Macaca fascicularis: one gene and its partner. The protein of the gene in region 1 binds, or shares a complex with, the protein of each later gene. Links are inferred from orthologs where the notes say so. Each region holds a gene or a part of one and is shown on either strand. Other genes may lie near its edges.

Region 1 (5,049 bases):
TTCTTTCACACGGAAGTGATTAGAAATAATCTGACAATCATTCTATTTCCTCATTTTCTGCCATCAGGCATGCAAGTATAACTTTCATATATTAATCTCTTACAAGCCTAAAAAAGTTACAGCCTCAAGAAGTTTAGACTACGAATAAAGTTAAATATAAAACTCTAAAGGAGTGAGCAAAGACACAGCCACTAAGGAGTGGGGTTGTGATGTGATCTTAGTTCTGCTGGACATCAAAAGAGCACTAAACTTCAATATGCACTTACAGTGCACGGTATACCTCTATCACACATGCAACAACCTGCAATGTTACAGAAAACTCTTGTCATTTCCAAAGAATGATGAAAGGCTAATACAAGTATGTATTCAAAACTCTGGCAACCACTGTGGGTAATAATGGAGAATAAAAAAAGAAAAAAGAAAAAATGCTGGCAACCAAACACAAATTAGTATTAAATGTTTATTGGGTGATTTAAGATAATCTGTGTCAAACTTTATTTTTTTAAAGTGTGATTCATAAACAGCATGCCATCTAACTTTCCCGAAAGTTTACCTTCTTTCCTAGATCTTCTTTCCTGTATCCTAGAAGTTCAAGGTATTTTCCACGAGAATCATCCTCAAAGTTCACCTTTTAAAAAAAAGACATATTCTTAAAAGAAAGACCTACATTTAAAGGCCAACTTTTTATAAGAATGAATCAAATTCCAAAGAGAATTATTAAAATTATCTGAAGTCTACATTCTAAAGATTCATTGTTAGAACGAATCTAAAGAATAGTGGGTTTTTTGGTTTTTTTGTTTGGAGACCTAGCCTCAGGAGGTCCTGAGAACATGTGCCCAGAATCATTTTTTTAAAATAAGTGATTTTTTTAATAGTAAATATACTAGTAATTAATTATCCTGGTTGAATAAAGTTTACTTTTGAACAGTAAGTTTTTTAAATACAAACTTATGTTCAAAGGTTAAATTGATACAAAACTCAAACTATGTGGAATATTCTATGTCCTAAAATTCTTTCCCAAAATTATTACAAAATATAAATTATTTAATTTTAGACTTTACCCTACCGTATTCAAGACTGCTTTACTTGAAAAATCAGTACTGTATAAAGAAATAGACATTCCAGTGCAGGCAAAATGACCAACAAGGAAATTCTATTTGTTACTCTATCCTAATTCCTCTTAAAGTAAAAGGAAAAATGCCTCCAACCTCTCTCCTCTATTCCTCTTCCTTTTTCCATTTTCCTTAACTAGATCTAATATAGATATTAAATATTCTATGTTTTCATTATAGTAAACTCTATGTACTAATCTTCAAAATAGGTATGCTGACTATGTCTCTCTCCTCTAAACAGATCTATTTTTGTTTTCTTATTAAAAATGTATTTCGTATTACACTTTTCAAAGTAGAGAAGGAAAAACTCTGGACACAGGTTGTATGCTCTTTATAAGGCTTCTTAATTTCATGATGAATTGCTGAAATCACACTTTTTCAATTCTTTAAAAGGAAGACAGATTTAGAATATAATGGAACAGTTAAATTTGCAGATAATGAAATAATACAGCCTTAAATAGCAACTTTACCTTCAAAAAGGACCACACATTTTTCTCAAATTCAGTCTGAGAAGCATCAATTTTTTTTTGGCAATAATTGATAAATCCTTGTGACTGCACAGCCTGCTGAAGTTGGTCTGACCGGCTGAGGAACTCCTTTTCTGTTACAACCTGACTAATGAACACATGGTGCTGCTGCTGCTGCTGCTCAGCTCCCTGATGAGAAGGCATTCTAACATTCTCAAATGTAACCAGTTTGCCTCCAAACTATAAAAGAGAGAATGAACAAACTCAGTGTTAACCCGAGGATATGGCCAAAAACAGTGCTTATAAAGTGGCCTAAACAGATAATCTGGATGAAATTAGTTGATACCACCTCTCATGCGCCACAGTCTGACATCACTTCAATTTCTGTTCTAGATGAAATGTACTTTTTTTTTTTTTGAGACAGAGTTTCACTCTTAGTCACCTAGGCTGGAGTGCAAAGGCGGGATGTTGGCTCACTACAACCTCTGCCTCCTGGGTTCAAGTGATTCTCCTGCCTCAGCCTCCTGAGTAGCTGGGATTACAGGTGCCAGCCACACGCCTGGCTAATTTTTGTATTTTTAGTAGACAGGGTTTCACCATGTTGGCCAGGCTGGTCTTGAACTCCAAACCTCAAGTGATCCACCCAGATACAGAAGACCAGATAGGATGATGAGAAGATTAAGCAGATCCAAAGAACAGACTTATGAGTGACATAAAACATATTCAAAGGTCTATTTTAGGAAGATTAATCTTGGAATATGTAGTAAAGATTAGAGAGGAAAAAGACAAGCAACAAATATGCAATCAAGCTATTAGAAGTCTGGTGTGAAAGAATTAGGCAAAGTGTCAGCAATGTAAAAGGAAGAAAGAAACAAACAAAAAGTGCTAGAGAGGATGTGGAGAAACTAGAACCCTTGTGCACTATTAGTGAGAATGTAAAATGGTAACGGTATAGAGGTTCTTCAAAAACTTAAAAATAGAACCATCGTACGATCCAGCAATCCCACTTCTGGGTATATGTCTCAAAAAACTGAAAACAGGATCCCAAAACGATAATTACAAACCCATGTTCACCACAGCATTTATTCACAATAGCCAAAAGATGGAAGCAACCAAAATGACCATCAAATGAAAGGATAAAAAAAATGTGGTATATATATACAATGCAATATTATTTGGCCTGTAAAAAGAAGTAAATTCTGTCATGCTACAACACAAATAAACCTTGAGGACATTAAGCTAAGTAAAATAAGCCAGCCACAAAAAGACAAGTACTGCATGATTCCATTTATATGAGTAATTTAAAGTAGTAAAACTCCTAGCAACAAAGTAGAATGTGGTTACCAGGGATTCAAGGGAAAGAGGAAATGGGGAGCTGCTGTTCAAGGGCACAGAGTTTCAGTTTTGCAAGATGAAAAAGTTCTAGAGATCTGTTGCACAACAACATGTATATAGTTAACACTACTGTAGTATATATTTAAAAATGGTTGTAGTGTATATTTAAAATGGTTAAGATAGTAAATTTTATATTACGTATTTTTTACAATAAAAAAAGCTGACAATTAAAAAAGAAAGCTAAAAGGATGAAGAGGAGGGAGGACACTCCCTGTGAAAATAAAAGAAAAGAAAAGAGAAGAGAAGAGAAAAGAAAAGAAAAAAAGAAGGGAGGGAGGGAGCGAGGGAAAGAGCTAGAGAGACAGAGAGAGAGAGAGAGAGAGAGAGAGAAGGAAGACACATTTAAAAAAAAGGGAGGAGGGCCTGGTACAGTGACTCATGCCTGTAATCCCAGCACTTTGGGAGGCCGAGGCAGGTGGATCACCTGAGGTCAGGAGTTCGAGACCAGCCCCAGTCAACATGGTAAAACCGCATCTCTACTAAAAATACAAAAATTAGCCAGGTGTGGTGGCGTGCACCTGTAATTCCAGCTACTCAGGAGGCTGAGGCAGGAGAACTGCTTGAACCCAGGAGGCGGAGGTTGCAGTGAGCCGAGATTGCGCTAGTGCACTCCACCCTGGGCAACAGAGCAAGACTCTGTCTAAAATAAAAAAATATTTAAAAAAAAAAAAGTGGGGGGAGGAACATAGAGTGTTGGCTACACAACAACAATGTAAATGTACTTAATGCCATTGAACTGTACATTTGAAAATGGATAAAATGATAAATTTTATGTATATTTTACCATGTTTTTAAAAAAGGGAAAAAAAAGAGTAGGTTCCAGTTTTTCAGAGAAATCATTTTGAATGATGCAATACCCACAAATACATCTCAAATCCCAACTTAAACCCCGACTTCTTCCATCAGAGTGATCCTGTAATAACACTTTGGTATAAAAAGTCCTTTGTGACTATGGACCATAAAAACAAAATCCACCTACTGAAAAAGAAGCACCAACAGGCCTTCGAATCCACTTGGGCGGCTTCTTCAGAGGCAACACTATACTATGCTGAGCAGTCTGCTGTGGAATTTGTAATGGAGGAAGGGGCTGTCCTGTGCCGAAGGGATCAAGATTCCCAAAAGATGATGAAAGCTAAAAAAGATTAATAACATGAGAATCTGACCATACACAAACTATCTTTCATTTTTTTCCAGTCATATCCAAAAAAATTTTTGATCACAATTGTCCAATTAACCAGCAATGTTAATCAGTGAAGTCATTTCAAAATATTACACAACATGTACTTTTTTCAGGCATTATAATAGAAAACTTTAACACTTCCTATTACCTTGTCAACTTGTTTCTGTCTTAAACCGTCTGTGCTTCCTCCCATGATAGAATAAACACTGATACGCCCATCAAACGAAGCAGCTGATAAGACAGCAGGATTTCGGGGACACCACTGAATATCGAAGCACCACTGTGTGTTGGTGGGAAGTTCATATAACACCTGGGCCAACAAAAAACAAACAACAACACTCAGAAAATGGTGGTGTGGGGAAAAGAAAGAGAGATCAGACTGTTACTGTGTCTATATAGAAAGAAGTAGACATGAGACTCCATTTTGTTCTGTATTTGAGATGCTGTTAATCTGTGACCCTACTCCCAACCTTGTCCTTGCAAGAGACATGTGCTGTAGTGACTCAATAAATACTGAGGGAACTCAGAGACCGGTGCCGGCGTGGGTCCTCTGTATGCTGAGTGCCGGTCCCCTGGGCCCACTTTTTCTTTCTCTATGCTTTGTCACTTTGTCTCATTTCTTTTCTCAAGTCTCTCATTCCACCTCACAAGAAACGCCCACAGGTGTGGAGCACCAGGCCACCCCTTCATCTGGTGCCCAACGTGGGTGCTTTTCTCTAAGGTGAAGGTACGCTCGAGCGTGGTCATTGAGGACAAGTCGACAAGAGACTCCCGAGTATGTCTACAGTCAGCCTTGCGGTAAGCTTGTGCGCTCGGAAGAACCTAGGGTAACAATGGGGCAAACTAAAAGTAAATATGCCTCTTATCACAGCTTTATTAAAATTCTCTTAAAAAG
Region 2 (5,049 bases), on another chromosome or scaffold:
GGGCAGCACTGGCAGTGGACCGAGGTGAGCAGGGGGATGTGCTGGGTGGCCATGTGCTGCAGGCCACGTGCGGAGACAGCGTGGCTAAATCATTGATGATGGAAATGCGCAACCTGCTACGCCAAATTGGATTTCTTTATCCACACGGAGCAGTTTTATGAAATGTAGCCTCTTGAACAGAGGGTGAGAGTCCCTCTGGCTTTTCACAAGCAGAGCTGTGCACGCTGGGCTGGACAATGTCCCAGAAGGTGCCCAGGACCCTGGGAGGTCCCAGACGAGCCAGCACATCTGACGCAGTGACTGTCTGTAGGACCAGGGCATGGGGCCTGGTTCTTGGACCTATTTGATTTGAAGAGCTGAAGGCAGACCACAGGTCTAACATTCCCTTTATTGCTTACGTCGCATATACCAATGAATACAATAAACTCCTTTTTAAAAAAGTAAGGCACATGAAAAGCCTTTTGTGCAAGTTCCATATTATTTTAAAATTCCTATTGGCTAATAAAAGCATTTCCACTATAGAACCAGAGACATCTAGAAAAGCACATGATAGATTTCTTTGCAAGCAGAATGCCTCAAACATTATTACATTTACCTCATGGCACAATGAGACAGTCACCAAATCCAATGTCTGCATTATAATGATGCAGCTACTATTATAGTTGGAAAACATTAATCACCTTATCCACATATGTACAGCTGGGTCCCCACACGGTAAAATCTAAAGGAAGAACAGCATCTAACTGCATCTGGGTTCCATTCCCTCACAGGCAGGAACTTTGGCGTTTCGGCTCTTGCCATGTTGTGCTGCTCTTCACGAGAGGCCAGGGTCATACGATACTGAAGACCATGGACAGGTACTGTTCGTACGACACCTGAATCCAGCCATCCTGATCCGTGTCGTAACGTCTGAATATATCCGTCAACCTCTGGGGAGAAAACACACATTTAAATCTCGATAGTGAACGGAAGGAGCAAGGTGCACTGGGACAAAGTCATTAGGAACCCAATTTCAGAAGCACACAGGTCATCTCCTGATGAAGCCCAGCACAGGCAGGCACAGGTGGGGCTGGAGCTGTTCACATGGACAGTGGGAGTGGGAAGAACACAGGGCTGCAGGGCTGGCTCCACTACGTCCAGCCCTGGCTGAGCCCCTGATCCCAGGCCCTGGTCTCCTGAGTCTCCTGGGGGCCTGGGCCCTTCCTTCGCCCCTGAAGACCGTCCCGTGGAGGCCCTCCACCCTCCAGTGGCTCGCCTCTGCTGTGGGGCCACCTGGGCTATGTGGAGCTCAGGACACAGCGGGGGATCTTGTGACATCACGAGGGCTTCAGGCTCCTTCAGCCCCGCCCACCCCTCCCTCTGACAGCCGAGGGTCCAGGCCAGATCAGCAGCAGAGACAGGGTGACCGCCTACACCCTCCTAACAGGGATGGTTAAGTAAGTGCCACTTCTAGATGATGGACTTGGGGCAGCCGTAAACTATCATGAAGATTCAGGCCAGCATGGTGACTCTCGTCTGTGATCCCAGCACTCTGGGAGGCCAAGGCGTGAGGATCGCTTGAGCCTGGGGGTTGAGGCTGCAGTGAGCCGTGTTCACACCACCACACTCAGGCCTGGGTGACAGACAGCAAGGGTCTCTCAAAAAAAAAAAAAAAAAAAGGAAGGAGAAGGAAAAAGAAAGAAGAAGAAGAAGAAAATGTGACAAGGGAAGAAAACAGCAGTCCTCGCATATCAGAACGTGGACAGGGTGTGGTGACTCTCGCCTGTGATCCCAGCTACTCAGGAGGCCAAGGCGGAAGGATCGCTTGAGACTTGGGGTCGAGGCTGCAGTGGGCTGTGTTTACACCACCACATTCCAGCTGGGGTGACAGAGCAAGACTCCATCTCAAAGGAAAAAAAACCACCCTGCAGGAACGCCACAGCACCACCAGGCCCCTGGACTTGGCAGCAGCTACGGCCTCACCAAACTCCAAAAACACCTGCAATGGATGATGCTGGCTTGAAGAATAATGGGTAATTTTTCTTTTTTTTTTTGAGACGGAGTCTTGCTCTGTCACCCAGGCTGGAGTGCAGTGGCCGGATCTCAGCTCACTGCAAGCTCCTCCTCTCGGGTTCACGCCATTCTCCTGCCTCAGCCTCCCGAGTAGCTGGGACTACAGGCACCCGCCACTTCGCCCGGCTAGTTTTTTGTATTTTTTAGTAGCGACGGGGTTTCACCGTATTAGCCAGGATGGTCTCGATCTCCTGACCTCATGATCCGCCTGTCTCGGCCTCCCAAAGTGCTGGGATTACAGGCTTGAGCCACGGCGCCCGGCCGTAATTTTTCTTTCTATTTTGAATCCTTTGTGTTTTTCTAGAGTTTCTAAAAGTGTTCATATTATTTGTTAAAAAATAATTTTCAAAAAGCCTTTATCCTTTTGGAAAAAGCAGATGAATCAAAACATTTTTGAGGGAATTTTAACTTGTGGTCTGCAGCTTTCTTTTCTTTCCCATTCCCCATCTGTCTAGTGTTTAGGGTCACTCTCCAAGGGTGGGGAGAGCCCGGGAACTGGCTGTCAGGCCCTCCCCACGCGGTCTGGAGCCGGGGCCTTGGGGAGGCAGCACCCCCCAGGAGGAGCTACCCTTGCTGCGGATGTGCCTTGGAAGGCGCTGGAGAGGTCACTGTGAGGCCGCCAGTGTTACTCCAGCTACCGAAAGCTCACACAAGATCAACGTTAACTTACAGAACATAGTCTCAAATGAAGATCTGAATCCTACAGCAATTCAGTCACGGTACATAACGAGATTTTACACTGCATCTTTTCCCTCTTTTTTTGTGAGACAGTGTCTGGCTCTGTCACCCAGGCTGGAGTGCAGTGGTGTGATCTTGGCTCACTGCAACCTCCACCTCTTAGGCTCAAGTGATTCTCCTGCCTCAGCCTCCTGAGTAGCTGGGACTACAGGCATGTGACACCAGGCCCGGCCTACACTTTTTTAAAGTGTTCAGAGAACATTGTGAAAATATCATCCAACGTGGCAGGAACCCCAAGAGGCAGGGCAGGAAAGGCTCCCCCACTGTCGAGTTTTGAGGCTTCCATGTTCACAGACCTGGTTCTCCAACAAATCCCTGAAGAGCAGGGACTGATGGATCCATAAACCAGAGGAAACTCACTTTTACAGATCTAGCATTTTAATTGTTACATAGAATAAACAATTTGGGAACGTTTCCGAATTTCCCCATTATTTCTAAAAACCCCATGCTGTTCCTCTCTCTCACGGAACTGCGCGGCCACCAAGGCAGGACCTTGAGGAATCTGGGTGGAGACCGGGATCTCCACCTGCACACAGCAGCAGGGGTCTGTGTGGAGCTCCCAGGCGGGTCCCCTGAGCCCTGCTCTCCATCTCCGTGCGTCTCAGAGAGAGCACAGCAGGAAAGACGTCACCAAAGAGCTTGCCTTGCAGGTCAGGGTGCATTACAAGCTCCTGCAGACACTGGTGTGCACAGGAAGAGCGCGGAGACCCCACCGAGGGCAGCCCGAGTGCCCACAGGCTCCACAGCTGACCTCACACACAACGACGGCAGGACACAGGGATGACCACAACAGAAAACGTGTCCCTTTTCTCAGAATAAAAGTTTTTGCAAAAATACACTATCATTGGCCAGGCACAGGGGCTCATGCCTGTAATCCCAGCACTTTGGGAGGCTAAGGCGGGCGGATTATTTGAGGTCAGGAGTTTGAGATCAGCCTGGCCAACATGGCAAAACCCCATCTCTACTAAAAATACAAAAATTAGCTGGGTGTCACCTGTAATCCCAGCTACTGGGGAGGCTGAGGCAGGAGAATCGCTTGAACCCGGGAGGCAGAGGTGAGAGTGAGCCGGGATCGTGCCATAGCCTGGGTGACAGAGCGAGACTCGGTCTCAAAAAAAAAAAAAAAAAAAAAAAAAATCAGAACACCAGAACATACGTGTAACTAACCCACCGGATACTGCAAAAACAGCGTCTTCCAGATGGGCTGCTCTATGCCATTTCCAAGGGGAGGAAAACATGTTTGTCTACACTTCCACTAACCAGCTACTTCTCCAAAGATGAGACTCAGTCTTACAAGCTCCAAAAACTAATTCTACATACGCCTGACTCCTTGGATTGAAGGTCAGGTGCATCACGCTGGCAAGCGAACCCCTCCCACCACCACAGCAAACCCAGGCAAAGCCACTCCGTCACCTGCAGGACGATGCAGCCCTGGATGAAGTCGTCGAAGGCGATCTGCCCCCGTCCCTGCCTGTCGAACTTTCGAATGAGGATGTCGTGGAACTGGTCAGAGAGCCGGTAGCCTTGAAGAGTGAAAGTTGGAGTCAGAGAGGGCTGGGAGAGACGGGAGGTATGTGCCAACGCCCACCCCTCCCTCCCAAGGCCCACAGCCTCTAACACACACGATGCAAGGCTGGGTGCGAACGGAAGTGCAAATTCACTCAAAGGCACTCAGAACTGAGACGCTTCCCGAATACGTCGCTGTGTAATGAGCTCACATCTGCAGTGCATGGAGCGACCCCTCGAGACCAGGACCCTGGAAGGAGGAGCGAGTGGGACGTTGCCATCGGTCACTCTCGTGAATTAACTACTCACCCCAGGGAAGCACTCACCAACCACCACCCCACAGGGCGGCCACGCTCAGTTCGTGAACCCAGTGGAGTTACTTTCAAAGTCCTTATTGATTTTATTATGTTTATTAACCTAGATAAGAAAATTCTGAATGATTCACCGCCCTGGGTTGCTTGTCACCAGACAATGCTTTGAAAACTAAAATTTCACAGAAGGTTTCCAGTTATACAAAGTGTCAATGTCAAGAAATGGGAGTGTCTGGGGGATGTGCCCCACCCGCCATGAGGGACTGACGGGCACAGTGGCAGGGTGACCTCGGAAAGGTCCAAGTCACTGCAGGGCCACCAAGGGCTAGGATTTCGTTTCCAGTTCACCGAGCCTGTCCTGAAAAAGGCCTCCCACAGGGAGAGGGCTCTGAAGACGTGTGGAGGCAGCAGGTGTGTTCGGCACCTTGGAGAGCACGCCCCG

Evidence for each region. Proteins that work in one complex are often made in the same cells at the same time.
Region 2: the proteins of SEC31A (region 1) and PDCD6 are in contact, whole or in part, in a crystal structure (PDB 3WXA), measured with the Homo sapiens proteins. The link is inferred for Macaca fascicularis from reciprocal best matches to the Homo sapiens genes SEC31A and PDCD6. Residues at the interface, in NP_001070675.1 of Homo sapiens: Asn837, Pro838, Pro839, Pro840, Pro841, Gly842, Phe843, Ile844, Met845; in NP_037364.1 of Homo sapiens: Val31, Val35, Leu48, Ala51, Leu52, Ser53, Asn54, Gly55, Thr56, Trp57, Phe85, Trp89, Ile92, Gln96, Phe99, Phe148.

Annotation. Positions count from the first base shown.
Region 1 is NC_088379.1:50,982,447-50,987,495, reverse strand, and holds part of SEC31A (protein transport protein Sec31A), read right to left. Parts: intron 4,465-5,049; coding exon 4,303-4,464; intron 4,107-4,302; coding exon 3,954-4,106; intron 1,820-3,953; coding exon 1,583-1,819; intron 629-1,582; coding exon 554-628; intron 1-553. UniProt on the Homo sapiens protein: Component of the coat protein complex II (COPII) which promotes the formation of transport vesicles from the endoplasmic reticulum (ER).
Region 2 is NC_088380.1:624,948-629,996, reverse strand, and holds the end of PDCD6 (programmed cell death protein 6), read right to left. Parts: intron 4,314-5,049; coding exon 4,204-4,313; intron 930-4,203; coding exon 831-929; 3' UTR 370-830; downstream 1-369. UniProt on the Homo sapiens protein: Calcium sensor that plays a key role in processes such as endoplasmic reticulum (ER)-Golgi vesicular transport, endosomal biogenesis or membrane repair.